4 linked regions of the Anolis sagrei genome follow. The protein of the gene in region 3 purifies or fractionates together with the protein of the main gene of each other region. This does not show direct contact. Links are inferred from orthologs where the notes say so. Each region holds a gene or a part of one and is shown on either strand. Other genes may lie near its edges.

What was found.
Region 1: the proteins of RASSF3 (region 3) and VAPA purify together in Homo sapiens (co-immunoprecipitation; 3 studies listed by BioGRID and IntAct, with this or other methods). This does not show direct contact. The link is inferred for Anolis sagrei from reciprocal best matches to the Homo sapiens genes RASSF3 and VAPA.
Region 2: the proteins of RASSF3 (region 3) and STK4 purify together in Homo sapiens (affinity purification with mass spectrometry; 5 studies listed by BioGRID and IntAct, with this or other methods). This does not show direct contact. The link is inferred for Anolis sagrei from reciprocal best matches to the Homo sapiens genes RASSF3 and STK4.
Region 4: the proteins of RASSF3 (region 3) and STK3 purify together in Homo sapiens (affinity purification with mass spectrometry; 4 studies listed by BioGRID and IntAct, with this or other methods). This does not show direct contact. The link is inferred for Anolis sagrei from reciprocal best matches to the Homo sapiens genes RASSF3 and STK3.

What each region holds. Positions count from the first base shown.
Region 1 is NC_090024.1:64,967,892-64,975,598, forward strand, and holds the start of VAPA (vesicle-associated membrane protein-associated protein A), read left to right. Parts: upstream 1-4,690; 5' UTR 4,691-4,855; coding exon 4,856-4,931; intron 4,932-7,707. UniProt on the Homo sapiens protein: Endoplasmic reticulum (ER)-anchored protein that mediates the formation of contact sites between the ER and endosomes via interaction with FFAT motif-containing proteins such as STARD3 or WDR44.
Region 2 is NC_090024.1:217,653,861-217,660,959, forward strand, and holds the start of STK4 (serine/threonine-protein kinase 4), read right to left. Parts: upstream 3,010-7,099; 5' UTR 2,832-3,009; coding exon 2,800-2,831; intron 1-2,799. UniProt on the Homo sapiens protein: Stress-activated, pro-apoptotic kinase which, following caspase-cleavage, enters the nucleus and induces chromatin condensation followed by internucleosomal DNA fragmentation.
Region 3 is NC_090025.1:141,289,928-141,297,946, forward strand, and holds the start of RASSF3 (ras association domain-containing protein 3), read left to right. Parts: upstream 1-5,010; 5' UTR 5,011-5,055; coding exon 5,056-5,176; intron 5,177-8,019.
Region 4 is NC_090024.1:31,779,563-31,787,531, forward strand, and holds the start of STK3 (serine/threonine-protein kinase 3), read left to right. Parts: upstream 1-4,967; 5' UTR 4,968-5,270; coding exon 5,271-5,293; intron 5,294-7,969. UniProt on the Homo sapiens protein: Stress-activated, pro-apoptotic kinase which, following caspase-cleavage, enters the nucleus and induces chromatin condensation followed by internucleosomal DNA fragmentation.

The sequences.
Region 1 (7,707 bases), on a different chromosome or scaffold from region 3:
AGCTGACCAAAAAGAATAAATATTTTATAAATCAAGTCAAATAAGAATGCAAGAATTGTATGCCATGGTATATAGTACCACTTGGATGCAACTGTACAAGATTTTTTAAAAATTCAATTGATCTTAATTCTCCTGTTGCCAGGTTAAACATACATAATTACAAAGTCATTTCACAAAAACCAGAATAGTAACAGTAGATATCCTGGAAACAGTTTTCCTAATATTGTAAGCGAATGCTGTGAAGCTGATACTTATTTCGATGTGAACACCACTGAAAATTGATAATTATTTTCTAAGTATATATGCATAGGATTGCACTCCATATCTTGTTCACAGTTAAGGTAAAGGTTTCCCTAGTCGTGTCTGACTCTGGAAGGTGGTGCTTATCTCCATTTCTACGCCAAAGAGCTGGCATTTTCCGTAGACGCCTCCAAAGTCAGGTGGCCAGCATGACTACATGGAGTGCTGTTATCTTCCCTCCATAGCAGTACCTACTGATCTACTCACATTTGCATGTTTTCGAACTGCTAGGTTGGCAGAAGCTGAGGCTAACAGCAGGAGCTCATCCCACTCCCTAGATTCAAACTGCTGAGCTTTCAGTCAGCAAGTTCAGAATCTCAGCAGTTTAACCCGTTGTGCCACAGGGAGCTCCGATCTTGTTCATGCACATCTAATATAAGCTCACAGGACTATATTCAAATTTAATTTATTTAAAAGTGTCCAATGAAATCAATAGGTTAAGTTATAGTAGTCATGAGTACAATACATTCCACAGAAAATACATTTCTGGCCTCTTAAGCTGAAGTCCAAAACACCTGGAGGGCCATAGTTTGCCCATCCCTGCTATAAACTCTACTTTTTTTTTTGTCGTGTCAGGAACAACTTGAGAAACTGTAAGTTGTTTCTGGTGTGAGAGAATTGGCCGTCTGCAAGGATGTTGCCCAGGGGACGCCTGGATGATTTGATGTTTTTATCATCCTTGTGGGAGGCTTTTCTTATGTCCCCGCATGAGAAGCTGGAGCTGATAGAGGGAGCTCATCCGCCTCTCCCCGGATTTGAACCTGCGACCTATTGGTCTTCAGTCCTGCCGGCACAGGGGTTTAACCCACTGCACCACCGGGGGCTCTATGAACTCTACTGATTTGATACTAATGTTGAGATACTTCAACAAAAAGCAACTAAAGACAAATGTAATGTGACAAGAGTTTTCCTGTATTATAAGAATAGCCTTGAGAATACAGTACTGAACTATATATTTTGCTGGTTGCTTGAGAGTTACAGTAGCTTGGGTTCCATTTTACAGAGAGCCTATTGTGTCTTCTTTCTTGGTTGCCCTGGCCTCAACTTGGACTAAACTGCTAACTACCTATGAACTGGTTGGATAAGACTGCCACCTAGTGTCTGAAGATTGTATTGTGGGCTTCACACACACACACACACACACAAACTAATATATCAACCAGCAACAGATCCCTTTTTGTCAACATGGTAGTCATTTAAAATTTGCACAATACATATTATTAGCATAGCACAATATCAGTATTATAGATTACAATATTGTACTATACCATTAGACTGTAATATTATTAATAATATTAATACATATATATATATGTAATTAATATATATGCATATATTAATATATAATAAACACGCATATATATATTATTAATAATATTACATATAATATAAAATATCTATATAAATAAAAATGTAATGTTTGTTTGTGGGATTAACAGAACTCAAAAACCACTGGGCAAATTTACACCAAATTTGGACACAAGACACCTATCAGGCCAACGAGTGTCCATTAGTCATTAAAACATGGAAAAAACACAGCGGAGGGACTTAAAAAGTAAAAAAACCCACCCCAAAATACATTACAACTCATGCACAAAACCACACGCATATATACACAAACACACATAGATACACATATATGCATATACACACACAAAATACATACACAGAAAAGGGGGAAGGAAGGAAGGAAGGAGAGGAGGGAGAGAAGGAAGGAAAGAAAGAAGGGTAGAGAAGGAGAGAGAAAGAGGGAAAGAAGGAGGGAAGGAGAGAAGGAAAGAAGGGTAGAGAATGAAGGAAGGAGAGAAGGAGGGAAAGAAGGAGAGAAGGAAAGAAAGAAAGGTAGAGAAGGAAGGAGAGAAGGAGACAAAGAAGGAAAGAAAGAAGGGTAGAGAAGGAAGGAAGGAGAGAAGGAGAGAGAGAAGGAGGGAGAGAAAGAGGGAAAGAAGGAGGGGAGAAGGAAAGAAAGAAAGGTAGAGAAGGAAGGAGAGAAGGAAATAAAAAAGTGAAAGGGAAGGAAGGAGAGAATGAACGAAAGAGAGAGAGAAGGAGGGAAGGAAGGAAAGAAACAAGGAAGGATGGAACTAAAGAGCAAAGGAAGCGAGAAAAGAAACAGATAAAGAAGGAAGAAAGAAGGAAAAGAAAAAGCGGGAAGGAAGGAAAAACGGAGGGAAGGAGAGAAATAAAGAAGGAGAGAAAGAGGGAGGGAAGGTTGGCCACAGCAACGCGTGGCGGGTACAGCTAGTATAATTATAATATCATATTATTATTAGTAGTATTATTATATTGGATTACATTATAATATTATAAATATTACATGTATATTATATATATATATATATATATATATATATATATATATATATATATATATATAATATGAGATCACGAAGAGTCGGAAACAACTCTGAATGACTGTCAGGGAGGGATCCCATGTTATGATTATTGATAGCATCCCTCTTTGATGTCTGAAATTCCACTCGCCTTGTTTGCCAATACACTATAAGCCAGTGGTTCTCAACCTTCCTAATGTTGCGACCCCTTAATAGAGTTCCTCAATTTGTGGTGACCCCAACTATACAATTCTTTTATTTGCTACTTCATAACAGTAATTTTCTGCGGTAATAAATTGTAATGTCAATATCTGATATGTAGGATATATTTTTATTCACTGGACCAAATTTGGCACAAATACCTGATGCACCCCAAAACAATATTGGTGGGGTTAGGGGGAATTGATTTGGTCATTGGGGAGTTGTAGTTGCTGGGTTACTTGCAATCAAAGAGCATTTTGAAATTCACCAACGGTGAAACTGAACCAAACTTGGTACACAAACTCCCATGACCAACAGAAAATACTGGAAGGGTTTTGAAGTTGTAGTTCAACTGTATGGAGAGAGTAAACAATGATGGATCTGGACCAAACTTGGCATGAATATACCCAAATGTGAATACTGGTGGAGTTTGAGGAAAATATACGTTGACATTTGGGAGTTGTAGTTGGGGGAAGTTTGACCCAATTCTATCCTTGGTGGGGTTCAGAATGCTCTTTGATTGTAGGTGAACTATAAATCCCAGCAACTACATCAACAATAGAAAACTCCCATCAACAATAGAAAATACTGCGTTTTCTGCTGGTCTTTGGCAACCCCTCTGACACCCCCTCGCGACCCCCAGGTTGAGAAACGCTACTGTAAGCAATCACAGTTATACAAAAAATCAGGAGATCTTCGAAAGCTTGCCATGATGCATTTTGAGCATTTTTGTACACGTTTGAAATTTAGCAAACCCGGATTATTTCTGAATTTGACAGCTGGAAACGTTTGTCCAGATTGGAAGGAAAGGCAAGGCTTTAAACCTGTCCTCTCCTTTCACAAAGGGTGTTAAACCTGAGGGGGGAAACGCCCACCTTCTCCCATCCTGGGCTGTGTGTGCCCCCTTCCCTCCCTCGAGACTACAATTCCCAGCATGCCCTGGCCCCCCGCCGACCGCAGAATTCGGGGAGCGGGCTCGCGCGCTGCATCCTGGGAGTCGTAGTCCTCTGCTTCCCCCTTCACTGTGGCGACGTCGAATAGGTCTCGAATTCCCTTTCTTTTCCACTTTGACTTAAGCACCTCTCTCTCTTCTCACTATCCCCGCCTTGTCTTTCCGACCTGTCAATCTTCCCTCCTGACAGGGATTCAAATGTCTTGTGTTCCCTTTTTTTTTTTGTCGTGTCAGGAGCGACTTGAGAAACTGCTTCTGGTGTGAGAGAATTGGCCGTCTGCAAGGACGTTACCCAAGGGACGCCCGGATGATTTGATGTTTTTAATCATCCTTGTGGGAGGCTTCTCTCATGTCCCCACATGGCGAGTTAGAGCTGACAGACGGATTCAAGCCATATGAAGAGGTGGAGCCTCTCCCCGGATTCGAACCTGCGACCTGTCGGTCTTGAGTTCGGCCAGCACAGGGGTTTAACCCACTGCGCCACCGGGGGCTCTTGTGTTCCCTGTACTTCCATCTCTCCCTTTCCTTCCTCCCTCCAGGACGCGCGTGACACGAAACAGCGGCGCGCGCTCTTCTCTCTCTCTCTCTCGCTCTACCCGGCTCGAGCGCATCTCTGGTGTTGTGAAAGAGAGAGTGAGAGAGAGAGAGAGGCGAGCTGTCAATGACGGTCTCGCGGCACTCAGGAAGGAACGCGCGCGCGCGCGCACGCCTGCGTGTGTCGAGAGCGGCGAAGACGACTCTCTCTCGCGGCGTCTCGCAGCCGCGCGCGCTCTCTCTCTCTCTCGCAAGACGGAGAAACGAAAATTTTTAGAACTTAAACCGGCCGCTTGCCCCTCCGTGCCATTGGAGAGAGATGACAAGCATTCTCATAGGCTGAGGCGGGCCCCTGAGAGCGCGCGCGCGCACACACGCCTGCTTGCCTTGACGAGAGCGCGCGTGCTCCTGTTACGCGTCTTCCGCCTCCTCCTCTCCGTCCCTCCCCTCCTTTTCCCCGACCGGAGCGCCCTCCTCCTCCTCCTCCTCCTCCTCCTCCCGCTCCCGGACTGAGGCGAACGTGTGAGCAGCAGCGATGGCGGCCGCGGGGGCTCTGGCCAAGCACGACCAGATCCTGGTGCTCGATCCGCCCACCGACCTCAAATTCAAAGGTACGCCGTGAGGGAGGTGAAGCCTCCTCTCGGGGGGGGGGGGAGGAGGGAGGGCCTCCTTCTCCCCGGGAGCTGTGAGGAAATCGAGGGCGGCTTCCCTCGGGGCCTGTAAAAGGAGGCTTGGGCCCGTCGCCACTGGGGAGGCTCCGAGCGGGGAAACGGGACGAGACGTCGCCATCTTGCTGACGCTTCCCTCCTCGCGGCCTCCTCCGCCTCCTCGGGCCCAGGCTCCCGGTCAGCCAGCCAGCCAGCCAGTCGGGGGCTGGGGAGGCCTGCCTCGCTTTCCCTTCCCTTCCGCATGGCGTCGTCGCTGTCTCTTTCCGCCTGCCCTTCTCTCAGCTGAGAGCCGGACTGGCGCCTTGCCTCTCTCTCTCTCTCTCTCTCTCTCTGCAGGGATTACATGCATATGCCTTTTCCACCAGAGAGACAAAAATACATTCTCAGGGCCCTTCCACACAGCCCTATATCCCAGAATATCAAGGCAGAAAATCCCACAATATCTGCTTGGAACTGAGTTATCTGAGTCCACACTCAGATAATGTAGGATTTTCTGCCTTGATATTCTGGGATATAGGGCTGTGTGGAGGGGTCTTCATTCAGCCTCCCTTCACGGGCTTCCAGGGCCCCATCTACACTGCCATACAAAATCCAAATTCTCTTCTTTCAACTGGGTTATATGGCAGTGTGGGCTCATACTGTATAATCTAGTTCGAAGCAGATCCTGTGGATTGTCTGTTTCGATAATCTGGATTATAGGGCAGTGTAATTCAATTCAAAGCAGATAATGTGGATTATCTGCTTCCGTAATCAGGATCGTATGGCAGTGTTGAAGGGGCCCAGAAGAGCCAACAAAAACACCTTTTCTTGTCGATATTTTCCCATCCATATCGCCGTCATTTCCAAAGTAGAATCATTGAGTTGGCCATCCAGTCTAACCCCCTGTCAAAAAGCAGGAAAAGCCATTCAGAGCACCCTCTGCCACTCAGGGCCCCTCCACACAGCCCCATATCCCAGAATATCAAAGCAGAAAATCCCACATTATCTGAGGGTATACTCAGATAACCCAGTTAAAAGCAGATACTGTGGGATTTTCTGCCTTGATATTCTGGGGTATAGGGCTATGTGGAAGGCCCCTCACATACCACTCAGGGCCCTTCCACACAGCCCATTGAGATTCTGATCGAGCATGGTGGAAAAGAATATCACATCCATTGCAATGCTGACGGTTCTGAGGGCCCTTCCACAAAGCCCTATATCCCAGAATATCAAAGCAGAAAATCCCACATTATCTGATAACCCAGTTCAAAGCAGATATTGTGGGATTTTCTTCCTTGATATTCTGTGATATTAGGGCTGTGTGGAAGGGCCCTGAGTCTGTTTCACCTCCCAAATCCCTTCTTCTGTGTCGCAACTGTGACAGGCTCATATGAGACGGAGGCTTCCGGGAAGCTGCTTCCCTGCCTTTCCCTGTGTTGTGTGCGCCAGGCCCAAGATGCGGGTGGATGGATGGATAGATGGATGTTCTTGGCTTGTATAATAATAAGGCTGGGAGGAGGATCAGAGCCTCACACGCTTCCTCCTGTATTTTAGGCGTTGTCTTCCCCAATCCCCCACGACAGGCACCCACCCCCACATTACACACACGCCCCTGCCTCTTCCTGCTTTGAATGTTGCCCCTCCGGAGCCTACTCTCCTCCTCCTCCCATGCAGAGTCGTAGTGGTGGCATTTTGCACCAACGCCCTTTGATGTGTCATCCAGGAGCACAGCTAGGGGCGTTTTCTACACTAATTCTCCTGACATTTCAAGTGTTGTATTTTGTGAATACCACATTGAAATCTGTGTGTTGCATTCTACGTGAATTAAAAGGCAGTTCCCGTTGGTTCGAACCTCTTCTTGAGAGGTAATAATAATTCCCTGCCAAGTGCTGAGAAGTTTCCGTGAGCTGAATATTTGTTGCTTCAATCCTCAAGGCCCTTGCACACAGCCATATAACCCAGAATATCAAGGCAGAATAACCCACAAAATCTACTTTGAACTGGGTTATCTGAGGTATCTTCCTGACAGATCCTATATCCCAGGATCTGATCCTAGGTTTTCTGTTTATCCCAGATTATCTGGCAGTGGAGAGTCATATAATCCAGTTTAAAGCAGAAAGCCTTGGATCAGATCCTGAGTTATAGTGCCTGTCAGGAAGGGTCGTCAGTCAATACTGCCATATATCCCATGGTCCTTCCACACAGCCATATAACACAAAATATCAAGGCAGAAAATCCCACAATATCTGTTTTGAACTGGGTTATCTTGAGTCCACACTCCATATATCCCAGTTCAAAGCAGGAAATGTGAAATTTTATTCAGTTGTGTGGAAGGGGCTTCAGTTTATCTATAGTTGGGAAAAGCTGTTTATTATTATTATTATTATTGTTTACACAATGGGGTGTTTGGCAGGACAGTACTGAAAATTTTGAAATTGAAGTGGCATTTTGAATTTAGCCAGAGCTCTTGAAGGGTAGCTGTCATAATACAATGAAACATCCCTGTTACAAAATTGTACTTCAGCATTGACTAGCACAAGGTTCCATAAATGTTGAGAGAATAAATCTGGCCATTTTTGGCAGGAATTGTTGTTATTTACAGACCGGCTCAATTAGGTGTAGGGAGTGGTGTGAACTTGTAGCAGTTAGAAATACTATTACCCCTCTTGAGTTTTTTGAATAAATTAAACTACAACTTTGAGGGCAAAAATCAGAATAATTTCATTCTGAAATCAGAAGA
Region 2 (7,099 bases), on a different chromosome or scaffold from region 3:
AACTAACAGAAAATATTTCAGTTTTGACAACTTGGGACCTGTACTTTCAGTGAAACTTTTTCTACCATGGATGATAGTACAAATATGTACATGCAGACATGGTATGAGTTATATTAACACCGAAGACTTGATCACACTCAATCCAAATCCACCGTGAAGAAAGCTGACATTTTATTAATATGAATAATTTTAATGTGCTTTAACCTACACATTTTAAATGGGCTTATATTTTTATCTGTGTATTTTAACTATGTTGTACCATGACTTGAGAAGCTGTGGGTAAAAAAAAGTATTATTTTTAAAGAGTGTATACATGTACGGAAGACGTAAAAAGAAATCTTCTTCCCCCATCAAATAGAAAGTATTCCACTATTTATACCCACTGGGAATCTCATCTCCATCTGATAACCTCCAAGGCTGCATCCACATTGCAAAACTAATGCAGTTTGAAACTTTGACTGCCTTGGCTCATTGCTATGGACCTGTGGTACCTATAGTATGGTGAGACATAAAACCTCTTTGATAGAAAAGGCTTAAGATCTTGTAAAACTACAATCCCCATGTTCCTACAGCATTGAACCATGGCAGTTAAACCACTCATGGAGTGCCGTAAAGGGAAGTTTATGTTCTTGGATGACAAAATTTCTCCTGAGATGCTTGACAAAGAAGGGCAAGCGGAGCAAATGCAAAGATTTTAAAGTTTGTATATTTTTAGGTTTTAAATTGTATTGCATTTGTTTTACTGAAGCCGCTTTGAGTCTCTTTTGTAGAGAAAAAGGGGAATATGAAGAAGAAGGGTACATGTTTTTAGATAAATATTTGTTTACATCTTTTTGTTTTTAATTTGTGCATTTTTATTTTTTAATGTTGTTAGCTGCTTTGCGTTATTTTGAAGACAGAAAAAGGAGATAATAAATACTAATATTTTTAAAAAATAAATATTTGTTTATATCCTTTTGGTTTTAATTTGTGCATTTTTATTTTTTAACAGTGTTAGCTGCTTTTGAATCATTTTGAAGACAGAAAAAGTGGGATATAAATAATATTAAACAGAGTATATATTTTGAGATAAACATTTGTTTACATCTTTCTGGTTTTAATTTTGTGCATTTTATTTTTTAATATTATTAGCTGCTCCTGAGCTATTTTGAAGACAGAAAAATCAGGGCATTCATTAATAAAAATAATAATAATAATTATAATAATAATAGGATATATGTTATCTATATAAATAAAAATGTAATTTTAGTTTGTGGGATTAACATAGCTGAAAAACCACTGGACGAATTGACACAAAATTTGGACACTATACCCTTAACAGACCAATGAGTGACCATAACTCATATCCCCCCCCCCCCAAAAAAAAAGCCAGCGGAAAAAAAAAATTAAAAACCAAAAAAAAACTAAACAACAATACAGTGCATATTTCCAATTTCGTATTCCTGGACTGCAACTCTCCTGTTTACCTCTCCGAACGTATTCTCCCCTACGAACCATCAAGATTATTAAGATCATCTGGAGAGGCCCTGCTCTCGGTCCCACCGGCCTTTCAAGCGCGTCTGGTGGGGACGAGGGACAGGGCCTTCTCGGTGGTGGCCCCGCAACTCTGGAACTCTCTCCCACCGGAGGTCAGAACCGCCGCGTCTATCCTGACACTTAGGAAACGAGTGAAGACGTGGCTGTGCAGTCAGGCTTTCGATGAATGAGACAACACCCTAGGATTCTGGATGGAAGATGATGTAGATCTGATTTTAATATGACGACTGACCACCGTAGTTTTATATATAGTGTTATTTTAAACTTGTTATTGTAATTGTGATATATGATATTTTAATGAGTGTATGTGTTTTTATGGTTGGAAACCGGGCTGAGTCCCTCAATGAGATTGAGAAGTTCGGTATAGAAAACTTTGAAATAAATAAATAAATAAATAAACTCTCAGCAATCCTCCAGATAGATAAGATAGATAGATTACACGTCTTTCCACAAACGCCACTATCACCTTTTCGCCCATGTTTCAGCACTATTTCCAATTTTAATTTTACATTTGGCCTTCCCACAGTTTTTAATTGTATGTTGTCTTATTGATAATGTGATATGTTTATTGTTTATGTTTTTATTTTAATTGCTTGTATTGTTGTGTTCGGGCTCGGCCTCATGTATTGTTGTATTGTTGTGTTCGGGTTCGGAGATGGTAGCGGGGTACAAATAAAGTATTATTATTATTATTATTATTATTACATAGAGATAGGTAGGTAGATCGATCGATCAGGAGGACTGCTGGGAGTTGCAGTCCAAGAATAGGAAGGAAGAAGGAAAGACAGAAAGAAAAAAGGGGAAGATAAAGAGAGGGGAAGGAAGGAGAGGTAGAGAAAGAAGGAGAAAAGGAAAGAAAAAAGAGAAGGAGAGAAAGGGGAAGGGGAGATTGGACACAGCAACGCTAGTTTTAAATAAATATTTGTTTACATCCTTTTTGTTTTAATCTGTGCACTTTTATTCTTTAATATTGTTAGCTGCTTTTGAGTCACACTGAAGAGAGAGAAAGCGGGATATAAATACTACAACTAATAATCATCATCATCATCATCATCATCATCATCGGGATGAAATACATTCCCCAAGGAGGAGGAAAAAAGGAAGGCCTGAGAAGGGCGGGGAGGCAGTGGGGGAAAGAAGAAAGCCTTTGACACCCAGCCGACCTTCCCCTTTGCCTCAAGCACTGGCCCCACCCCGCCCTCCTTTCCCCCCTTTCGAGGCTGCCTCCTCCCTCCCTCCCTCAAGCCCTCCAGAGCTTCTCACCGGCGCGGGTGGCGCAGCTGCACGGTCTCCATGGCGGCCTCCTCCTCTTCTTCTTCTGCCCCCGACTGAGGGAAGAGGCTGTGAGGGAGGCCAAGGGCGCCGCACACACCACTCACTCCTTCACTCACCGCCGTCGCTCCATCCCTTCGCGCGTGCTGCCGGGCTCTGAGAAGAACCTCTCGCTCAGCCCCGCCCTCCCAAGGCACCAGGCCCACTTCCGCTTCCCGGCAACAGCCAATCCGAAGCCCGCCCGCTAGAGAGCCGCGCGCGGCACGAACCACGTGCTTGCTTCCCCCCCCCTCCTCAAACTCTTGGAGGAGATTAAGCCCGCCCCCTCGATGGGCGTGGCCGAGCTCGCGCAGCAGCCTGAGTTCAGTCCAGTCCCAGGCTGTGGAGCCGTGGGAGCTGTAGTTTGGCTGAAGTCCCATCTACATTGCCCTATAATCCGAGTTTCTGAATCCAGATTATAATATAATAAATAACTACAACTCCCAAGTGTCAAGATTCTATTTTCCCCAAACTCCACCAGTATTCACATTTGGGCATATTGAGTATTCGTGTAGAGTTTGGTCCAGATCCATCATTGTTTGAGTCCACAGTGATCTCTGGATGTAGGTGAACTACAACTCCAAAACCAAAGGACACTGCCCACCAAACCCTTCCAGTATTTTCTGTTGGTCATGGGAAAACTGTGTGCCAAGTCTGGTTCAATTCCATCATTGGTGGGGTTCAGAATGCTCTTTGATTGAACTATAAATCCCACCAACTACAAGTCCCAAATGACAAAATCTTTTTTTTTTTTGAGTGAAGGACATACACTGAGTTGTTAGGTGTCTTGTGTCCAAATTTGGTGTCAATTCGTCCAATGGTTTTTGAGTTCTGTTAATCCCACAAACAAACATTACATTACAAGGGAACCACTGACCGCATAGGGAAGCTGATGAGGAAACATAACATACAAACCATCTACAAACCCACCAAGAAAATCCAACAAATGCTATGTTCAGCAAAGGACAAGAGGGATCCTCTCACCTCTGCAGGAGTCTACCATATACCATGCAGCTGTGGACAAGTCTACATAGGGACCACCAAACGCAGCATCGCCCAGACACGCATCAAGGAACATGAAAGGCACTGCAGACTACTTCAACCAGAGAAGTCAGCCATAGCAGAGCACCTGATGAACCAGCCTGGACACAGCATATTATTTGAGAACACAGAAATGCTGGACCACTCTAACAAGTACCATGTCAGACTACACAGAGAAGCCATTGAAATCCACAAGCATGTGGACAATTTCAACAGAAAGGAAGAGACCATGAAAATGAACAAAATCTGGCTACCAGTATTTAAAAACTCTAAAATTACAACAGCAAAACAACAGAGAGAAAACAACCAGGCACATCTTAACACCTCTCAACAAGAGATTTTCCCAGGCTCAGGCAGGCCTTCAAATGATAATGAAGGTGGTCAGTTGAAACATTCACACCTAGCTCTAGCAGAGAAGAGCTCTTTGCCCCACCCCAGCCATTACACAGATATATAAACCCATTTTCCTATTTCCAACAGACCGCACTACCTCTGAGGATGCTTGCCATAGATGCAGGCAAAACGTCAGGAGAAATGCCTCTAGAACATGGCCCTATAGCCCGAAAAAACCCGCAAGAACCTATATATATATAAATGCTCTGTGCATAATGAGTACCTTAAAAACAAAAGAACCAATGGACGAAATCACACCAAATTTTGGCAACAAAACATCTCACAAGACAAGGAGTGACCATCACTCAAAAAATTATGCTTTTGTCATTTGGGAGTTCAATGAATGAACTGAACCAAACTTGGCACACAGGACTCCCTTGACCAATAGAAAATACTGGAAGGGTTCTTGGTGGGCATTGACCTTGAGTTTGGGAGTTGTAGTTCACCTACATCCAGAGAGCACTGTACACTCAAATAATGATGGATCTGGACCAAACTTGGCACAACCACTCAATACGCCCAAATATTAACACAGATGGAGTATGGGGAAAATAGACCTTGACATTTGGGAGTTGTAGTCACTGGGATTCACAGTTCACCTACAATCAAAGAGCATTCTGAACCCACGAATTCAGAATGCTCTTTGATTGAACCCACGAATGACAGAATCGGGGCAAACTTCCCATACTGAACCCCCATGAGCAACAGAAAATACTTAAGGCCATCCAGTCCAACTCCCTTCATCAGGGCAAGAAAATGCAAACACTCAAAATATTAAAAGTAAAAAGGCATTTACAAGTCAACAAGGCTGAGGTGATGTCCAAGTCAGTGATTAAGGTGCTGGCTGAAGAAAATTATTATAGGATCTATAGGGGTCTAGTTACCATCCCCCTCCCACACCTGCCTTATCTTCTTTCAACTGGATTATAGGGCAGTGTAGACTCTTATAATGAATCCAGTTCAAAACAGTTAACGGTTCTGGCCCAACTTACCTGTCCGAACGCATCTTATGAACCCTCCAGGACTTTAAGATTGTCTGGGGAGGCACTGCTCTCGGTCCCGCCTTCGTCACAAGTACGTCTGGCGTGAACGAGAGACAGGGCCTTCTCAGTGGTGGCCCCTCGGTTATGGAATGCCCTCCCTAAGGATATCAGATCGGTCCCCTTCCTTTTAACATTTCGAAAGAGAGTCAAGACTTGGCTCTTTGAGCAGGCATTTCCAAATATAGTGTAATAGACATAGGAAAATGGAATGGTTGGACGATGTGATTGAACAATGTTTTTTAATAGGAGACACTAATGTTCATGTTTTTATTGATTTTGTTATAGTTATAGTTTTATTATCCAACTAGCCACCCCCTGCCATGCGTTGCAGAGGTCTGGATGGGAACCGCCCTGTGCTCCCTCAGGAAGATAGGGTGGTAAATTATTATTATTATTATTATTATTATTATTATTATTATTATTATTATTATTATTGCATAGTTGGTGGTTGCAAATGATTATGGTTGTTGGAGAAATACATTTTACTGTGACATTTTCTAGCTTTCTTCACATTTATTAATCAACTAGCTGTGGCCCACTCTGGTGGTCATGGGGTTCTGTGTGGGAAGTTTGTCCCAATTCTATCGTTGGTGGGGTTCAGAATGCTCTGTGATTGTAGGTGAACTGTAAATCCCATAAACTATAACTCCCAAATGTCAAGATTCTATTTTCCCCAAACTCCACTAGTATTCACATTTGGGCATATTGAGTATTCGTGAAGAGTTTGGTCCAGATCCATCATTGTTTGAGTCCACAGTGATCTCTGGATGTAGGTGAACTACAACTCCAAAACCAAAGGACACTGCCCACCAAACCCTTCCAGTATTTTCTGTTGGTCATGGGAAAACTGTGTACCAAGTCTGGTTCAATTCCATCATTGGTGGGGTTCAGAATGCTTTGATTGAACTATAAATCCCACCAACTACAAGTCCCAAATGACAAAATCTTTTGGGGGGGGGGGGTGAAGGACATACACTGAGTTGTTAGGTGTCTTGTGTCCAAATTTGGTGTCAATTCATCCAGTGGTTTTTGAGTTCTGTTAATCCCACAAACGGACATTACATTTTTATTTATATAGATTTTATAGACTGCTCCGAGCCTTCGGGGAGTTTAAAATTGATTAATAAAATAAATAAATAAATAAATATGGTGGATTTGCATTGAGTGTGATAAAATATTTGGTGTTAATATAACTCATACCATGTCTGCAAGTACATATCTATACTACTCCTTAGTAATCTTTAGATGAATGCTTGTAAGTGTAATTAAGTCATGATATTATGTGAAAAAATGCAGTCTAAATGTCAGTGTTGAGTCCATCCATAGTAGAAAAGGGATCACTGAAAGTACAGGTCCCAAGCTGTCAAAAACAGAAATATTTTCTGTTAGTTACCCTGGTGCATCCTAGGTATCTGAGTGGTACTAGCTCTTTGGCATTCCCCAGTTGTGTCTTGACATAACACTAAATGTTTTTGCATTTCAAAACTGACTATCTTCTAGGCTTGCTTGCATCACTGCTATAAGGAAATCATAAGCTTTTCTAGTTTCATGTTATGTACATCACCATTTAGGGTGTCATTTGAACTATAGTAGTGCAACCATTCGGATTTATGATCTGAGAGTAGATTACTTCTATTGCTAACATCAACCACATTTTTTTTTAATTTTAGCAGCACTGCAAAATGCAGTTAAGCAAAAGAGCCTATTCCTCAGTGTTTCTATGATGACAAACCATAGTTAGGAATTAAAATTAAAACCAGCCTTGTGTTTTGGAG
Region 3 (8,019 bases):
ACATAGTCATTTCGATCAACCAAACACAAATTCTTAAATAAACATTCAAGATTTTTTTTTATGTTGAGAAACTGCAAGTTGCTTCTGGTATGAGAGAATTGACCATCTGCAAGGACGTTGCTGAGGAGATGCCTGGATGTTTTGATGTTTTACCATCCTTGTGGGAGGCTTCTCTCATATCCCCGCATGGAAAGCTGGAGCTGACCAAGGGAGCTCATCCACACTCTCCCCTGATTCGAACCTCCAACCTGTCGGACTTCAGTTCTGCCAGCACAAGATTTTAACCCATTGTGCCACTGGGTTGCCATAAGTCAGAAGCAACTTGAAACCAGCCAATAGAGATGAATGGATAGAGTTTTGTATAGTTAGAATTAGACAGAAATGTGGCCACCTCACCCACCCACTTAAAAAGGGTGAAACCAAAGCAATATGCAATGCAATTTAGAGAGCAGGGAATAAAAGGGATGCAGCATGTTTAGTGAACAGAGAATCCTTAACAAATGATAAAGAAAGAATGAGGAATAAAATGGAACAGTTGTGAAGATAAACAGATACATACAGTTCTACAAATTTTTATTTGTAAGTTCCCTTTGTGCCAGAATACTTTCAGACTACATTAACTTTCAGAATAACCAAAGATAAGCAAAATCAGTTGAACTAGCTTTCACGTTTTATTTTGTCAGAACAGAGGAAGCTTTTCTAGTTGTTCATTCTTAGTTTGTCCTTAAGTTGAATGTTTTGTGCTCTTCAAAACAAAAGGATGTGAAGTGGAATTCTCAAAACAATGATTCCTGAAAAGCTATGTTTTTATTTCCTTTTGTTCTCAAACACTAACCATTAGAATGTAAAAATACAATTGCATATCCTGCACTGAAGTATGCTGAATTGTACTTCTAATTTGCTTCTCAAAGGTTATTTATTTTGCTTTTGTTGCCAAACATTAGAGAATACAATTCAAAAACATTACACTGTACCCTCCAACAAAGCATGTTACTCTTAGTTGGGGCTTCCTATTGTTTTCTCTGTCATGAAAAAGCACTAAAAGCTCTCTTTGAATGAAATTACATCAGCACTGACACTTTGTAGCTAAATAATGAATTACTTAGTACATATAAAAAGAGAGAACTCTTTAAATAAAGATAATGCATGCTGGTGGCGCAGCGGGTTAAATCGCTGAGCTGCTGAACTTTTTGATTGAAAAGTTGGCGGTTCAAATCCGGGGAGTGAGGTGAACTTTCACTGTTAGCCACAGCTTCTGCCAGCCTAGCAGTTTGATAACATGCAAATGTGAGTAGATCAATAGGTACTGCTTGTGCAGGAAGGTAATGGTGCTCCATGCAGTCATGGTGGCTACAAGACCTTGGAGGTGTCTATGGACAATGCCGGCTCTTCGGCTTAGAAAAGGAGATGACCACCACTCCCCATAGTCAGACATGACTAGACTTAATGTCAGGGGAATACCTTTTGATGCATTAATGCAAAGCTATTAAGTTTTTGTATGGCCATGTTCCAGAAGCATTCTCTCCTGACATTTCCTCTACATCTATGGCAGGTATCCTCAGAGGTTGCGAGGTGAGGACCTGACAACTTCTGAGGATTCCTGCCATAGATGTGCCCAAGTCACACCATTGATCCATTTATTTCAGTATTGTCCACACTAACTGGCAGCAGTGCCCCAAGTTTTCAGTCATATCCCTTTTGTATTCTTACCAGGAACTGGCAAGGATTGAGCTGAATTTTTCAGATGTAAACCATGTAATTTAGCACTGTACCATGAGCTTCCTTAATTTAAATTAATTGATGATTTAGTGGGCCAAACTGTGGTTCCCAAACTGTGGTCCATGGACCACCAGTGGTCCCCAACAATAAAAATATGGTCCGTGGTTTCACTATTACTATACTGTTGCCTCAAAACCATGTGGCAACAAGAGCAACTGGTCTCACAAAATCCTCTTATAGTGCCAAGGCAACGGAGATGTCAGGAAGGGAGAGGCTGACTACCCATGAAAGACTACTACTACCAGATCTGATTTTCTGTGGGCGAGCAGATGGTGACTACTGGATGGCACATGTTCTGTATCAGAAACTAGAGCCAATGTGGTCTATCCAATGCCATTTTCTGAATCAGCACCCCAAACAACCAAACTGAATCTAAAGTTGACCAAAATCTGATTTATAACCCTTTTGGTACTAATGTTGGAGAGTGGTCCCTGTTCAAGTGGTCCCTGGTCAAATGGTCCCTGGTCAAAGTGATCTCTGGTCAAGTGTGTAGCAGAATGAAAATCACACGTAGTTCACCTCTTTACCAATCCATACACTGTCTTGCTAGAGAAGAGATATGCCACGCAGATGATCAGTAAAGAATAAGGTTTTTACTCTTTGTTATGCAGAGCAACATATAAACAGTCATGTTGCATTAACCCACACAATGTCCTTTGAGAGAGATTTAAATATTCCTTGGGTGTCCATGTGAAGGATCGTCTTTCAGCAGCTCAGAAGTAGAAAAAAAATTACTAACTTTTCCTGGCAAGCTCCTGTACAGAAAATCTAAACATGTAACTGTTGCCAAAACTCCCAGGCTCAGCTAGCATCCTGGGCATAGCTCAACCAATCAGCTTTGTGCTTTGCATTTTCAGTTAACACACTCGCCAACTGATTTTTACATGCTCCAATGAAGAGGTCCCTGGTACAAAAAAGGTTGGAAACCAAAGAATGAAATGTTTATTAATGTCCTATCCTAGCTATCCATTGAGATACCGAATCTGTGTTTTAAACTAGATTCCACTCACTTTGCCAGAACTAGCAACTCTCTTTATATAGCCCCTTCCTGAATACCCTAAAAGATTACTCTGAAGAGATGGGAAGAAAGGAGGGGAGAATCATAGATTCTGGCAGCAACAATGGGTCCTGCCTAAATGTGTGTTTCATTTCCTGTGCAAAAACAGCACTCTTCAAGATAGATATATCTCTCCTATTCTTAAACTGACCCTGGCCAAAGAATTGTGACACATTTGGTACAAGTGGAATGCTTGCTTTGTTTTTAGGGACACATTGACCCAGGAAATATTAGCTATCCTTATTCAGTGTGGAAAGAAAAGACAGTAAGTTAAAAATATCTGAAAGTGTTGGGTTAAATATTTCACATGTTTAAGTCTGTAGGAGTGGGACATGGCTATCTGCAGAACAGTTGATGTTCTGCCTTGTGTTATACAAGCTTTTAATAACATTTCTGCAATTCTGCCAGCCAGGGCCTTTGCTCCGTAACATCTTCAGGGTGCTGTTTTGTCTGTTTCTATTAAAAAAGTCTACTCCTAAAAATTAGATAACTAAGAGAAATAGGCTGAGAAGGGGAGGATGTAAGTGTTTTAGATGAAATCATAAAGTATTTTTGATCACCACAGTTTTGTCTATTCAGTTCCCTGAAAGCCCTTTTATCCAAATGTAATAATATGCAGAGGCGGCTCAACCCATTAAGCAAAGTAAGCATTTGCAGTATAGTTGATTTTGCCTAGGGGCGCTCTTGAGGCGCTCTTGGGGGAAAATAGACCTTGACATATGCAAGTTGTAGTTACTGGGATGTATAGTTCACCTACAATCAAAGAGCATTCTGAACTCCACCAATGATGGAATTGAACCAAATACGGCACACAGAACTCCCACGATGAACAGAAAAATATATATCAGTGATTGGTTGGGAGCACCAAAATACTGTTTGCTTACCATTGAAAATTGCCTAGGGTCGCCTCTGATAATATGTCATGTCCATTTTGCAGACTGAAAATTGAGATCCTGAAAGTTACATTATTAAGTGGCTTGATTCATGTTACATCAAAAGTAATTTGTTTAGAACAGTGTTTCTCAACCTGGGGGTTGGGTCCCCTGGGGGAGTCGCGAGGGGGTGTCAGAGAAGTTGCCAAAGACCATCAGAAAACACAGTATTTTTTGTTGGTCATGGGGGTTCTGTGTGAGAACTCCACCAATTCTATAATTGGTGGAGTTCAGAGTGCTCTTTGATTCTAGGTGAACTATAAATCCCAGCAACTACAACTCCCAAATGTCAAGTCTATTTTCCCCAAACTCCACCAGTGTTCACATTTGGGCATATTGGGTGTTTGTGCCAAGTTTGGTCCAGATCCATCATTGTTTGAGTCCACAGTGCTCTCTGGATATAGGTGAACTACAACTCCAAAACTCAAGGTCAATGCCCACCAAACCCTTCCAGTATTTTCTCTTTGTCATAGGGAGTTCTGTGTGCCAAGTTTGGTTCAATTCCATTGTTGGTGGAGTTCAGAATGCTATTTGATTGTAGGGAAACTATAATCCCAGCAACTACAACTCTCAAATGACACAATCAGCCCCAATGAATGAAAATACATCCTGCATATTGGATGTTTACATTGCCATTCATAACAGTAGCAAGATTACAGTTATGAATTAGCAACAAAAATAATGTTATGGTTGGTGGTCACCACAACACGAGGAACTGTATTAAGGGGTTGCGGCATCAGGAAGGTTGAGAACCACTGATTTAGATCGATGATTTAGGACTAATGTTTGAGAAAACTTTAGCAGAAAGTCTACAATAAAAAAATAACTAAGTATATTCATGATCGTTTTTTGTTATAGTTTTCTCTAAGCCGCATCTCATTTCCTTCAGCAACCATATTAAAACAATAATATTACCAATTCTGTTAATTCAAGAAAATAATTTCTAAATGGAAAACCGTTGGTTCATAACCTGTGAAAATACGGCAAAGAATACGATTTTAGAAACAGACCTAGAAATGAGTATGCATTTTGCAAAGACACAGCGGACTTAATCTTACTATTGTATAAATAAAATACTTGATAATCTAGTGCTATTGTTGCATATAAAGATAGAGATCTCTGGCTCACCGAATGGGGAGAAGAGGATTTAGGACCAACAGGTGGTCTTGAGACAGGCTGGCTGAGGGTCTATTCCCAGCTATCTGAACAGTGTGTTGATATTTGAGGCGTTTTCTTTCCTTTCTACACTACTCTTTCTACCTCAAGAGTAGCAAGCAGCCTTTAGCAATGGCAATAAGAAATGACATTAACAGGACTATTAGAAGGATAGCTCAGTTTTTTTATTGGTTCCCTAAGGCTTTGGGTAACCCACGAAGAAGGAAAATCAAACTTCTCTGCAAATCTTCTGGTAGGTTGTTCTTTCTTTTCTCGGGGGTGAAACTGAATGATGAAGTATTCATTTTTAATAGATGTGAAGTGCTTTCTTCTGACATCCTGTGTAATATGTTAGTGGTGCTACTTTTAAAGTACCTAATTCTTAAGACATGTACCTAGAACTAAAGGTATGTGAACCTGGCAATGTGTCATGGATACTAAAACTGAACTTAGCTCTTTGCCATACAGACACCAACTCTTGGCCACATCAACCATTATTTAATTATAGAACAACCAATTTGTGTGTGTGTGGGGGAGGGTCATTTTGTTGCTAGTGTCTGTTAATAACTTAGGGATCTGACTGTAGATATAGATCTATTTTCTGCCATATTTAGACAACATTCTTGTCCATCAAGGGGGTCTGACTGTTTATAAAGCTATTGTCCTCCCAACCCTGCTATACGCCTGTGAGACGTGGACTGTCTACAGACATCACATGCGACTCCTGGAACGTTTCCATCAGCACTCTCTCTGGAAAATCCTACGAATCTTCTAGGAAGATAAGCAGACAAATGTCAGCGTGTTGGAAGAAGCAAAGACAACCAGCACTGAAGTGATGGTCCTCCGCCATCAACTCTGCTGGGCCAGCCACGTTGTCTGGATGTCCAACTACCATCTCCCAAAGCAGTGCTCTACTCCGAACTCAGGAATGGAAAACGGAATGTTGTTGGGCAGGAAAAGAGATTTAAAGATGGGCTCAAAGCCAACCTTAAAAACTCTGGCATAGACACTGAGAACTGGGAAGTCCTGGCCCTTGAGCACTCCAGCTGGAGGTCAGTTGTGACCAGCAGTGCTGTAGAATTTGAAGAGGCACGAATGGAGGGTGAATGAGAGAAACATGCTATGAGGAAGGCGCATCATGCCCACCCCAACCGGGACTGCCTTCCACCTGAAAACCAATGTCCTCACTGCGGGAGAAGATGCAGATCAAGAATAGGGCTCCACAGTCACCTACGGACCCACCAGTACACTGATCTTGGAAGACTATCCTACTCAGACAACGAGGGATCGCCTAAGTAAGTAAGTAAATAATGTAAAGCACCTCGCGAGGTGCTTTATGCGCGAGTAGGCCGCGCGGTGCTGCTCCTCCCTTGACAGGCTCATGCTGCCCATCGCGCCTGATGGGCAGCATGAGCCTCGCGAGGTGCTTTATGCGAAAGTAGGCCGCGCGGTGCTGCTCTTCCCTTGGCAGGCTCACGCTGCCCATCGGGGAGGCTGCCCCGGTGCTCCATACAGTCATGCCGGCCACATGACCTTGGAGGTGTCTACAGACAATGCCGGCTCTTCGACTTAGAAATGCAGATGAGCACCACACCCCAGAGTCAGACACAACTGGACTTCATGTCAGAGGAAAACCTTTAACTAGGAAAATTGTGGAAGATCCAGGGTGGGAGAAAGAACTCTTGTCTGTTGGAGGTAGGTATTAATGTTTCAATTGGCCACCTTGATTACCATTTCATAGCCTGACAGTTTTTAGGGAGAGGTGATTAGCTGGCCCTGATTGTTTCTTGTCTGGAGTTCCCCTGTTTTTGGTTGTTGTTTTTTTCCCCCTACAGTTATAATTTTAGAGTTTTTGTAATACTGATAGCCAGATTTTGTTCAGACTAGAAATAGGAAGATTTCCCATTCTCTGCTCCTGGAATTACTGCCTAAAGAAGGTTAGAAAGAACCCCCTCTAAGGGCCCTTCCATACAGCAAAATAAGATATGTGCAATGTGCATAGGAATTTTTTTATTTATTTTTTTTAAAAAAATCTATAGTCCGGCCCTCCAACGTTCTGAGGGACAGTGAACTGGCCCCCAGTTTAAAAAGTTTGAGGACCCCTGGTTTAACCCATTGCGCCTCCTAATTTAAAGAAGTGATTTTGTTTTGTTGTTGTAATGTTCTGTGTTCAACACTAGAGGGAAACCAATCATGCTAATCCAGGTTGTTTTACTAGTTTTTTGTTTTGTTTTGTTTTTTGTCGTGTCAGGAGCGACTTGAGAAACTGCAAGTCGCTTCTGGTGTGAGAGAATTGGCCGTCTGCAAGGACATTGCCCAGGGGACGCTCGGATGTTTTGATGTTTTTAACATCCTTGTGGGAGGCTTCTCTCATGTCCCTGCATGGGGAGCTGGAGCTGATAGAGGGAGCTCATCCGTGCTCTCCCCAGATTCGAACCTGTGACCTGCCGATCTTCAGTCCTGCCAACACAGGGGTTTAACCCACTGCGCCACTGCACTAGTTGAAACCCATGATAGGGCCAGCCTACCATAAATTGGAGGTAACTGGAAGAAGGCACAGAGCAACAAGAACATATGTAGCATAGTTAACCTAGGTTAGAGGTATGAAAATGTCAATCTTGCTTCAATTTCTGAGAAAATAGCAACCTGGTATGTGTGCAATAACTTTTGGTTTTAAACAATTGGTTTTAATAAAGGTTTTAACAAAAGTATTTTTTAAAAATCAATCTGTTCATCTATTTATCATCTATTTATCTTGTTCTGTCTGTATAATACTTAGACCAGCTTGTAATCAAATATTTAAAAAATAAAAATAAAGGATCTATAGCAAGTTCTGTACTGCAGCCGAATTAAACAATCAGGTTGAAGCAGAAGTAAACTAAAACATTTCAAAAAAAACAACAACAATGCAATAGTATTGGTTTACATGACCCTTTGAAAAAGTGGTAAAACAAAATATTCTTTCCCTCTTGAGTAGGGTACCAGAGAACCCTCTGAAGAGAAAAACTCCCACAAATGACTAGACAACTGCTCATATTTTCTCATTCCTTATTGCTACTAAAAGATAAAGACAAGGCCAGCACTATATTTGAAAAA
Region 4 (7,969 bases), on a different chromosome or scaffold from region 3:
CTTATTTGCATTTCCAGAGGTGGACACAGACTTTCCAAGACTCGTCTCATTCCAGAAAAGCTGCCCCTCAACAGCTGATTGGCACTCCCCAGATCAATCCCTTCCAGGGGAATCCCTGCATGGAGGTGACAAGTCATAGAGACAGCGGCCAATGGGAGCCCGGATCCAAACCAGCTCTTCCTCTAGCCAATCAGGGAAGGGAGTCGGTGGAGCAAGAAAGTTTAAATAGCTGTCAAGTTTATAAAGTCTTGTGTCTCTGTATTCGCGAACATGTGTGTATTTTTGGTGCTAGCTGTACACGTAAATATCTGGCCAGGTTGCAAATAAGCCTCTGTTACTGCTTTCAGTCTTGGTGAGTGTGCTTTCAATTGGGAAAAATCTGGTTTAGCATAAAGCTCGCCGGGCAGGGACGTGCATTACCGTGGTCCTTACTCTAAATTTGATCCCATATTTAATGCAGTTCAATGTAGTTAAACTGCATTATGAAATTGTATTATAGGGTAATGTAGATGGAAACTCAGGAACAAACTTAATTTTTGTCACTATAGGGTAATGCTCAGTCATTTCTTTTTTGAGACGTCTTTTTTGAGACGTCTCGCTAATGACATCATCACAATAACACCCTGATTTTCACCAGCAGTCTGTCAAATAAGAATCCCACTGGATGGTATGCATTTGCTAGCAGATATTGTAGAAATTTCCCTTACGTAGCAGAACCATATATGCAGATTATCAATCTGTTTATTGAACTGTAAATGCAGATTGTACATTACTGTGCATCTTCTTACAGTCCATCTTCTTTTTATTTTTCCCTGGGCCCCTTAGTTACATCTGGTCTCTCAGTGTGAATAAGATTACTAAAGCTGATAAGGGAACAGACTTCTGCTCTGCCTGTTTTCTCTTTCTTTGGTTTAGTTCTAGACAAATGTAGCCAAGGTTATTGGCTGATTTATGTGGTGCATTCTCTTCAACAGGGCAAGGTTCTCTAACACCATACTTCGAATCCTCCTCACACCCAATGCAGAGCGAGCGTGTCAGATTTCCATCTCTCATTGTTGCAGTTTCATGTTTCTGACACTAATGTTCATGAATAAAGAGACTGCATTTCTCTTTCTCTCTCATCCAGGTCTTCAATAATAGAGGGAAACGGATAAACCATGACATTGATGTGATGGAAATCAATGTGGCTGGCTATTCTATTCTACTGATATAAAGAAAGCAACAAAAAAGAGGTGGGGAGGGATGGATGGATGATTATTCGCAGTCTGATCAGGAATTCCTTAAATGTAAGGTTTTATTTCATAAGGGAAAAAACTCCTACTGTATATACCCTAACCTAAGGTTTGATCTACACTGCTCTATATTCCAGGATCTGATCCCAGATTATTTGTTTTGAACTGGATAATATGAGTCTACACTGCCAGATAATATAAGTAGATAATCTGGGGTCAGATTCTGGGATGTAGCACAGTGTAGATTCAGCTTCAGGCTCCTTCTACACAGTTATATAATCTATCTTTGACTGGATTATATAGCAGTACAGACTCATATAATCCAGTTCAAGGCAGATAATGTGGATTATCTGCTTCGATAATCTAGATTGTATGACAGTGTAGAAGGGGCCTGAGTCTACACTACCATATAATAGATTTCAAAGAAGATAATCTGGATTTTATATGGCAGTGTAGAAGGGGCCATAGTCATGCTTTAGTAACACTGTGGATCAATTGCTATGATGCTTGATTTTCAGTTTGAAGAAGGAAATTCCTTTGATTGTTTATTTCTTTAGTATAAGTATATTTAACCAGAAGCAAATAGTATTTTCATTTTTTCCTGCACTTCAAATGCCAGATTATTGTGATGTTAAAATTAGGTAACAGGAAAAGGCCACTAAAGGGATGTATTTGGTCATGAAAAATCAGCCGCTTGACAGTTCATAATAACCATACAGCTGTATAAAATCCACATTGAACCAGATTATACGGCAGTGTGACTCAGATAATCCAGTTCAAAGCAGATATTGTGGATCATCTGCCTTGATATTCTGGGTTATATGCCTATGTGGGAGGGCCCTTAGATTTTATGTTTTACTTCCAGGAAAGATGCGTGCCTCCTTTTCTATCTGAGGGCCATTCCACACAGCCCCATATCCCAGAATATCAAGGCAGAAAATCCCAAAATATCTGCTTTGAACTGGGTTAGCTGAGTCCACATTGGCATATATTCCAGTTCAAAGCAGATAATGTGGGATTTTCTGCCTTGATATTCTGGGATATGGGGCTGTGTGGAAGGGTCCTGAGGAACCAAAATAATCCAACTGGCCTAGGCCAGGGCTTCTACACTCACAAGCTCTTTCATCCTGAGAAATCTTTATGTGATCTCAGATATATATGTATATATAAAACATTTACTGATTTGCAAGGCTTGCTAAACAGCCTGGTTTCCCTTTTTATAACAACAACAATAATAACTATAATATATAATGTATAATAAATAATAATAATTATTATTATTTATTATACATTATATATTATAGTTATATTTATAATATAAATAATATAAATATTAGAACAAATGCCATCAAAGCCAGAATTGAAAAGTCGATGACAGATCCCAAATGCAGACTCTGCAAGGAAGCAGATGAAACAATAGATCACATCCTCAGCTGCTGCAAGAAGATCGCATAGACAGACTACAAACAGAGGCATAATACCGTTGCTCAGATGATTCATTGGAACCTGTGCCATAAATACCACCTGCCTGTGGTAAAGAACTGGTGGAATCACAAGCCGGAAAAAGTTACAGAAAATGAACATGTCAAACTACTCTGCGACTTCCGAATTCAGACAGACAGAGTTTTATGGATTGTCAATCTTGCAATCCTAGATGACAGCAGGATTGAAGAGAAACAACTGGAAAAGCTGACATGATATGAGGATATAAAGATTGAACTGCAAAGACTCTGGCACAAGCCGGACAAGGTGTTCCCAGTGGTGATCGGCACAGTGGGTGCAGTGCCTAAAGACCTTGGCCTGCACTTAAACACAATCAGCGCTGACAAAATTACCATCTGTCAGCTGCAAAAGGCCACCCTACAGGGATCTGCATGCATTATTCACCGATGCATCACACAGTCCTAGACACTTGGGAAGTGTCCAATGTGTGATCAAATACAACAGCCAGCAAAGTGTTTTTGTTTGCTGTGGACTCATCTTGTATTTCACATAATAATAATATAATAACTTTATTTCTATACCCTCCCTCCATCTCCTTGAAGGGACTCGGGGCAGTTTACATGAAACCAAGCCCAGTCAACAGTTAAAACATAACATGCAATAATCAATATAAAATGCAATAATCAATATAAAAACAACATAAGCAACATTATAAAAAACAATAAAACAAGCATCAGGAACAACCACCAATTCAAGTCTCATTGTAGGAGGATGGTCTGGTACAACAATTTAATGGTAGGTCTAATGTGTATAGGTGATAAAGCAGCAAAAGGATAAGAGCTGCACTATTTCTCAGAGAAGGCTAAACCCCTGATAAAACTACAACTAGACAATTAAGACTTTGGATAGAAAAGTAGTAAGGGGAAAGGACAAGATCTTTTTTATGAAGTGCGGCAGCCGCATCTTCTACTGAGCCCACTGTAAATGCTGCACAACAGGTTCATGTAAATGTCTAAAACAGCCACTAGGTGGCATTTGGAAAACTTTTACATGGCCAATTTTTTTAATGACCCATTTGGGGTTGGTACCCATTGTTTAAGAAACAGGGCTTCTTAAACTTTTCCACCCGTTTTGGCCTGAAAACATTTTATGTGACCCCAGATATTGAAGAATAAAATAAGTATAAAAACCAAACATTTACTGAAAAGAAATCAGCATTTGCAAGGCTTGCTAAACAGTTTGAGCATCCCTCATCCTGAAATTATCTAAATGGGTGACAGAGTGCGTCTACACCGGGCATGGACAAACTTCATCCCTCCAGCTGTTCTGGACTACAACTCCCACTATTCCTAACAGCCTCAGGCCCCTTCCTTTTCACCCTCAGCCGCTTAAGCGGCTGAGGGTGAAAAGGAAAGGGCCTGACGCTGCTAGGAATTGTGGGAGTTGTAGTCCAGAACATCTGGAGGGATGAAGTTTGCCCATGCCTAGTCTACACTGTAGGATTAATTCAGTTTGATACCACTTTAATTGCTATGGCTCATTGCTATGGAATCCTGGGAGTTGTGGTTTGCATTATTTCTCAGAGAAGGCTGAACACCTGATAAAGCTACAGCTTTCAAGATTCCACAGTATTCAGCCATAGCAGTTGAAAGGGTGTCAAAGTGGATCAACTCTACAGTGTAGATGCATCCTAAAACAGTGACATCTTTGCATCTTTGTGTTATGATGGTTCAGTGTGCACAAAATTATTACAAAACATGGTATACAATAATCCTCAGGCGAGGTGTACCAGGTGTATATCAATCCAGGTGTATAAAAATCACTCTCCTAGGTTCCTGTAGGTTTTTTCGGGCTATAGGGCCATGTTCTAGAGGCATTTCTCCTGACGTTTCGCCTGCATCTATGGCAAGCATCCTCAGAGGTAGTGAGGTCTGTGGAAATAGGAAAATGGGTTTATATATCTGTGGAATGACCAGGGTGGGACAAAGGACTCTTGTCTGCTGGAGCTAGGTGTGAATGTTTCAGCTGACCACCTTCATTAGCATTTGAAGGCCTGGCTGAGCCTGGGGAAATGTTCTGTTGAGAGGTGTTAAGATGTGCCTGGTTGTTCCCTCTCTGCGGTTTTGCTGTTGAGTCCTGTTTTATGATGAGCAAAGACTACATTGCCCAGCATGCACCGTTCCCCATTGGGAGACCATATTGGCGCGGTGCATGATGGGCAAAAGAGCCCTTACGGCCCTCCGTCGATGACGTATTACGATGACGTAATCCCTCCCTTCTGGTCCCTCCTGGCCATTGAGTCCCTTCGTAGATTCACCGGGCCTGAAGCAACTTTCTCTTCCGCTTTCTGGCTTTCCGACTGGCTTTTGCGAGGGCCAATAGCCGTTAAGCAGAACCCCCTTGCAGCCAATAGGAAGGGTTGTGGGTGGGCCAACGCTTGAGTGGCAGAGGGGTTGCGATTGAAGTGCGGCTCCGGAAGAGGAGGGGGCGTTTTAAAGGGCCAGCAGCGGGCGAAAGTTGTGAGGAGAGTTTCTGAAGGGGATCCTTCCTCGGCCAGGCCCAGTCAGGGGGACCTGCGGAGCCGCTGGCGTCAGGATGGAGCAGGCCGCGCCGAAAAGGTAACAGCCAGCGGCCTCCCTTTCTCCCCGGGGAAGGGGAAGAGGCGGGCGGGTGGGGACGAGGCTTTCCTTGGGCGCCAGGAGGAAGGAAGCCGGGCTAGGCCGCACCGCAGCTCTGCTTTGATTCCCCCGGGAGGCCTTCTCCCTCCAGAGGCCTCGCTCTGGCCCTGTGTTGGAGGGACTTTGGGGTCACAAGGAGGCACCCCGCCATCTATAAACACATTCATTGAATTCAGTAGGAGCAGAAGGAGAGAGAACTTCAGTAAAGGGGGGGGGGGTGCCCTTTCACTTTAAATAATCAAAATCATAGTTTATTGTCCAAGACATTCATGGCCTGAATCACTGGGTTGTTGTAGGTTTTTTCGGGCTATATGGCCATGGTCTAGAGGCATTCTCTCCTGACGTTTCGCCTGCATCTATGGCAAGCATCCTCAGATGTAGTGAGGTCTGTTGGAATTGAGAAAAGGGATTTATATATCTGTGGAATGACCAGGGTGGGACAAAGGATTCTTGTCTGCTGGAGCTAGGTGTGAATGTTTCAAATGACCACCTGTTTCAAATAATCAAAATCATAGTTTATTGTCGAAGGCTTTCATGGCCTGAGTCACTGGGTTGTTGTAGGTTTTTTTGGGCTATATGGTCATGGTCTAGAGGCATTCTCTCCTGACGTTTCGCCTGCATCTATGGCAAGCATCCTCAGAAGTAGTGAGGTCTGTTGGAATTAAGAAAAAGGGTTTATATATCTGTGGAATGACCAGGGTGGGACAAAGGATTCTTGTCTGCTGGAGCTAGGTGTGAATGTTTCAAATGACCACCTTGACAGTGGCTTGACAGTGCCTAGAGCAGTATTTCTCAACCTGGGGGTCGGGACCCCTGAGGGGGTTGCTAAGGGATGTCAGAGGGGTCACCAAAGACCATCAGAAAACACAGTATTTTCTGATGGTCATGGAATTCCATGTGGGAAGTTTGAGCCAATTCTATCGTTGGTGGAGTTCAGAATGCTCTTTGATTGTAATAAACTATAAATCCCAGCAACTACAACTCCCAAAAGTCAAGGTCTATTTTCCCCAGGCTCCACCAGTGTTCACATTTGCGCATATTGAGTATTTGTGCCAAGTTTGGTCCAGATCCACCATTGCGTGAGGCCACAGTGCTCTCTGGATATAGGTGAACTACAACTCCCAAACTCATGGTCAATACCCACCAAACCCTTCCAGTGTTTTCCATTGGTCATGGGAGTTCTGTGTGGCAAATTAGGTTCAAATCCATCGCTGGCGGAGTTCAGAATGCTCTTTGATTGTAGGCGAACTATAAATCCCAGCAACCACAACTCCCAAATTACAAAATCAATCATCCCCCAACCCCACTTACATGTGGGTGCATTGGGTATTTGTGCCCAGTTTGGTCCAGTGAATGAAAATACATCTTGCATATCTAATATTTACATTATGATTTATAACAGCAGTAAAATGGCTGTTATGAAGTAGCAACGAAAACAATGTTATAGTTGGGGGTCACCACAACATGAGGGACTGTATTAAGGGGTCGCGGCATTAGGAAGGTTGAGAACCACTGGCCTAGAGCTTGACAGTGCCTAGAGCTTAGCCGGTATTGCACCACCTGACATCCGCCGAGAAGTAGCACCCAATAGTGAAAGGGCCAAGGCAGAGACATCTCCAGCTCATCCCCTGTTTGGGTATCAGCCAGCACGTCAATGACTTAAATCAAGACATAGTTTTCTTAGATCTACAGAGACACTCGCTGGAACACCTCAGCAAGCGAGAGTCCAAAAGTGGCAGGCCTAAACCCAGCACCTCAATCCATGGGTGATACCAGATGAGAGACTCCCCCCTGGGCACACAGAAGACTGGGCGACTTGGAAGGCGCTGAACAGACTGCGCTCTGGCACCACGAGATGCACCACGAGATGCAGAGCCAATCTTAAGAAATGGGACTACAGGGTGGAAACCACGGCATGCGAGTGCGGAGAAGAACAAACCACTGACCACCTGCTGCAATGCACCCTGAGCCCTGCCACATGCACAATGGAGGACCTCCTTGCGGCAACACCAGAGGCACTGCAAGTGGCCAGATACTGGTCAAAGGACATTTAATCAACTACCAAGTTTTTTGTTTTTTTTAATCTGCGTGTTTGTTTTGTTCTGTTAGAAATGTAATACAGTGGTATGGTTGCTGATGACACGATAGATAAATAAATAAATAATGCCTAGAGCAAACTTTTGTTGAGAGATGATTAGATGTCCTTGTTTGTTTCCTCTCTGTTGTTGTGCTGTTGTAATTTTAGAGTTTTTTTTAATACTGGTAGCCAGATTTTGTTCATTTTCATGGTTTCCTCCTTTCTGTTGAAATTGTCCACATGCTTGTGGATTTCAATGGCTTCTCTGTGTAGTCTGACATGGTGGTTGTGAGAGTGGTCCAGCACTTCTGTGTTCTCAAATAATATGCTGTGTCCAGGTTGGTTCATCAGGTGCTCTGCTATGGCTGACTTCTCTGGTTGAAGTAGTCTGCAGTGCCTTTCATGTTCCTTGATGCGTGTCTGGGCGCTGCATTTGGTGGTCCCTATGTAGATTTGTCCACAGCTGCATGGTATACGGTAGACTCCTGCAGAGGTGAGAGGATCATCTAACCACCTCTCAACAAAAGTTTGCTCTAGGC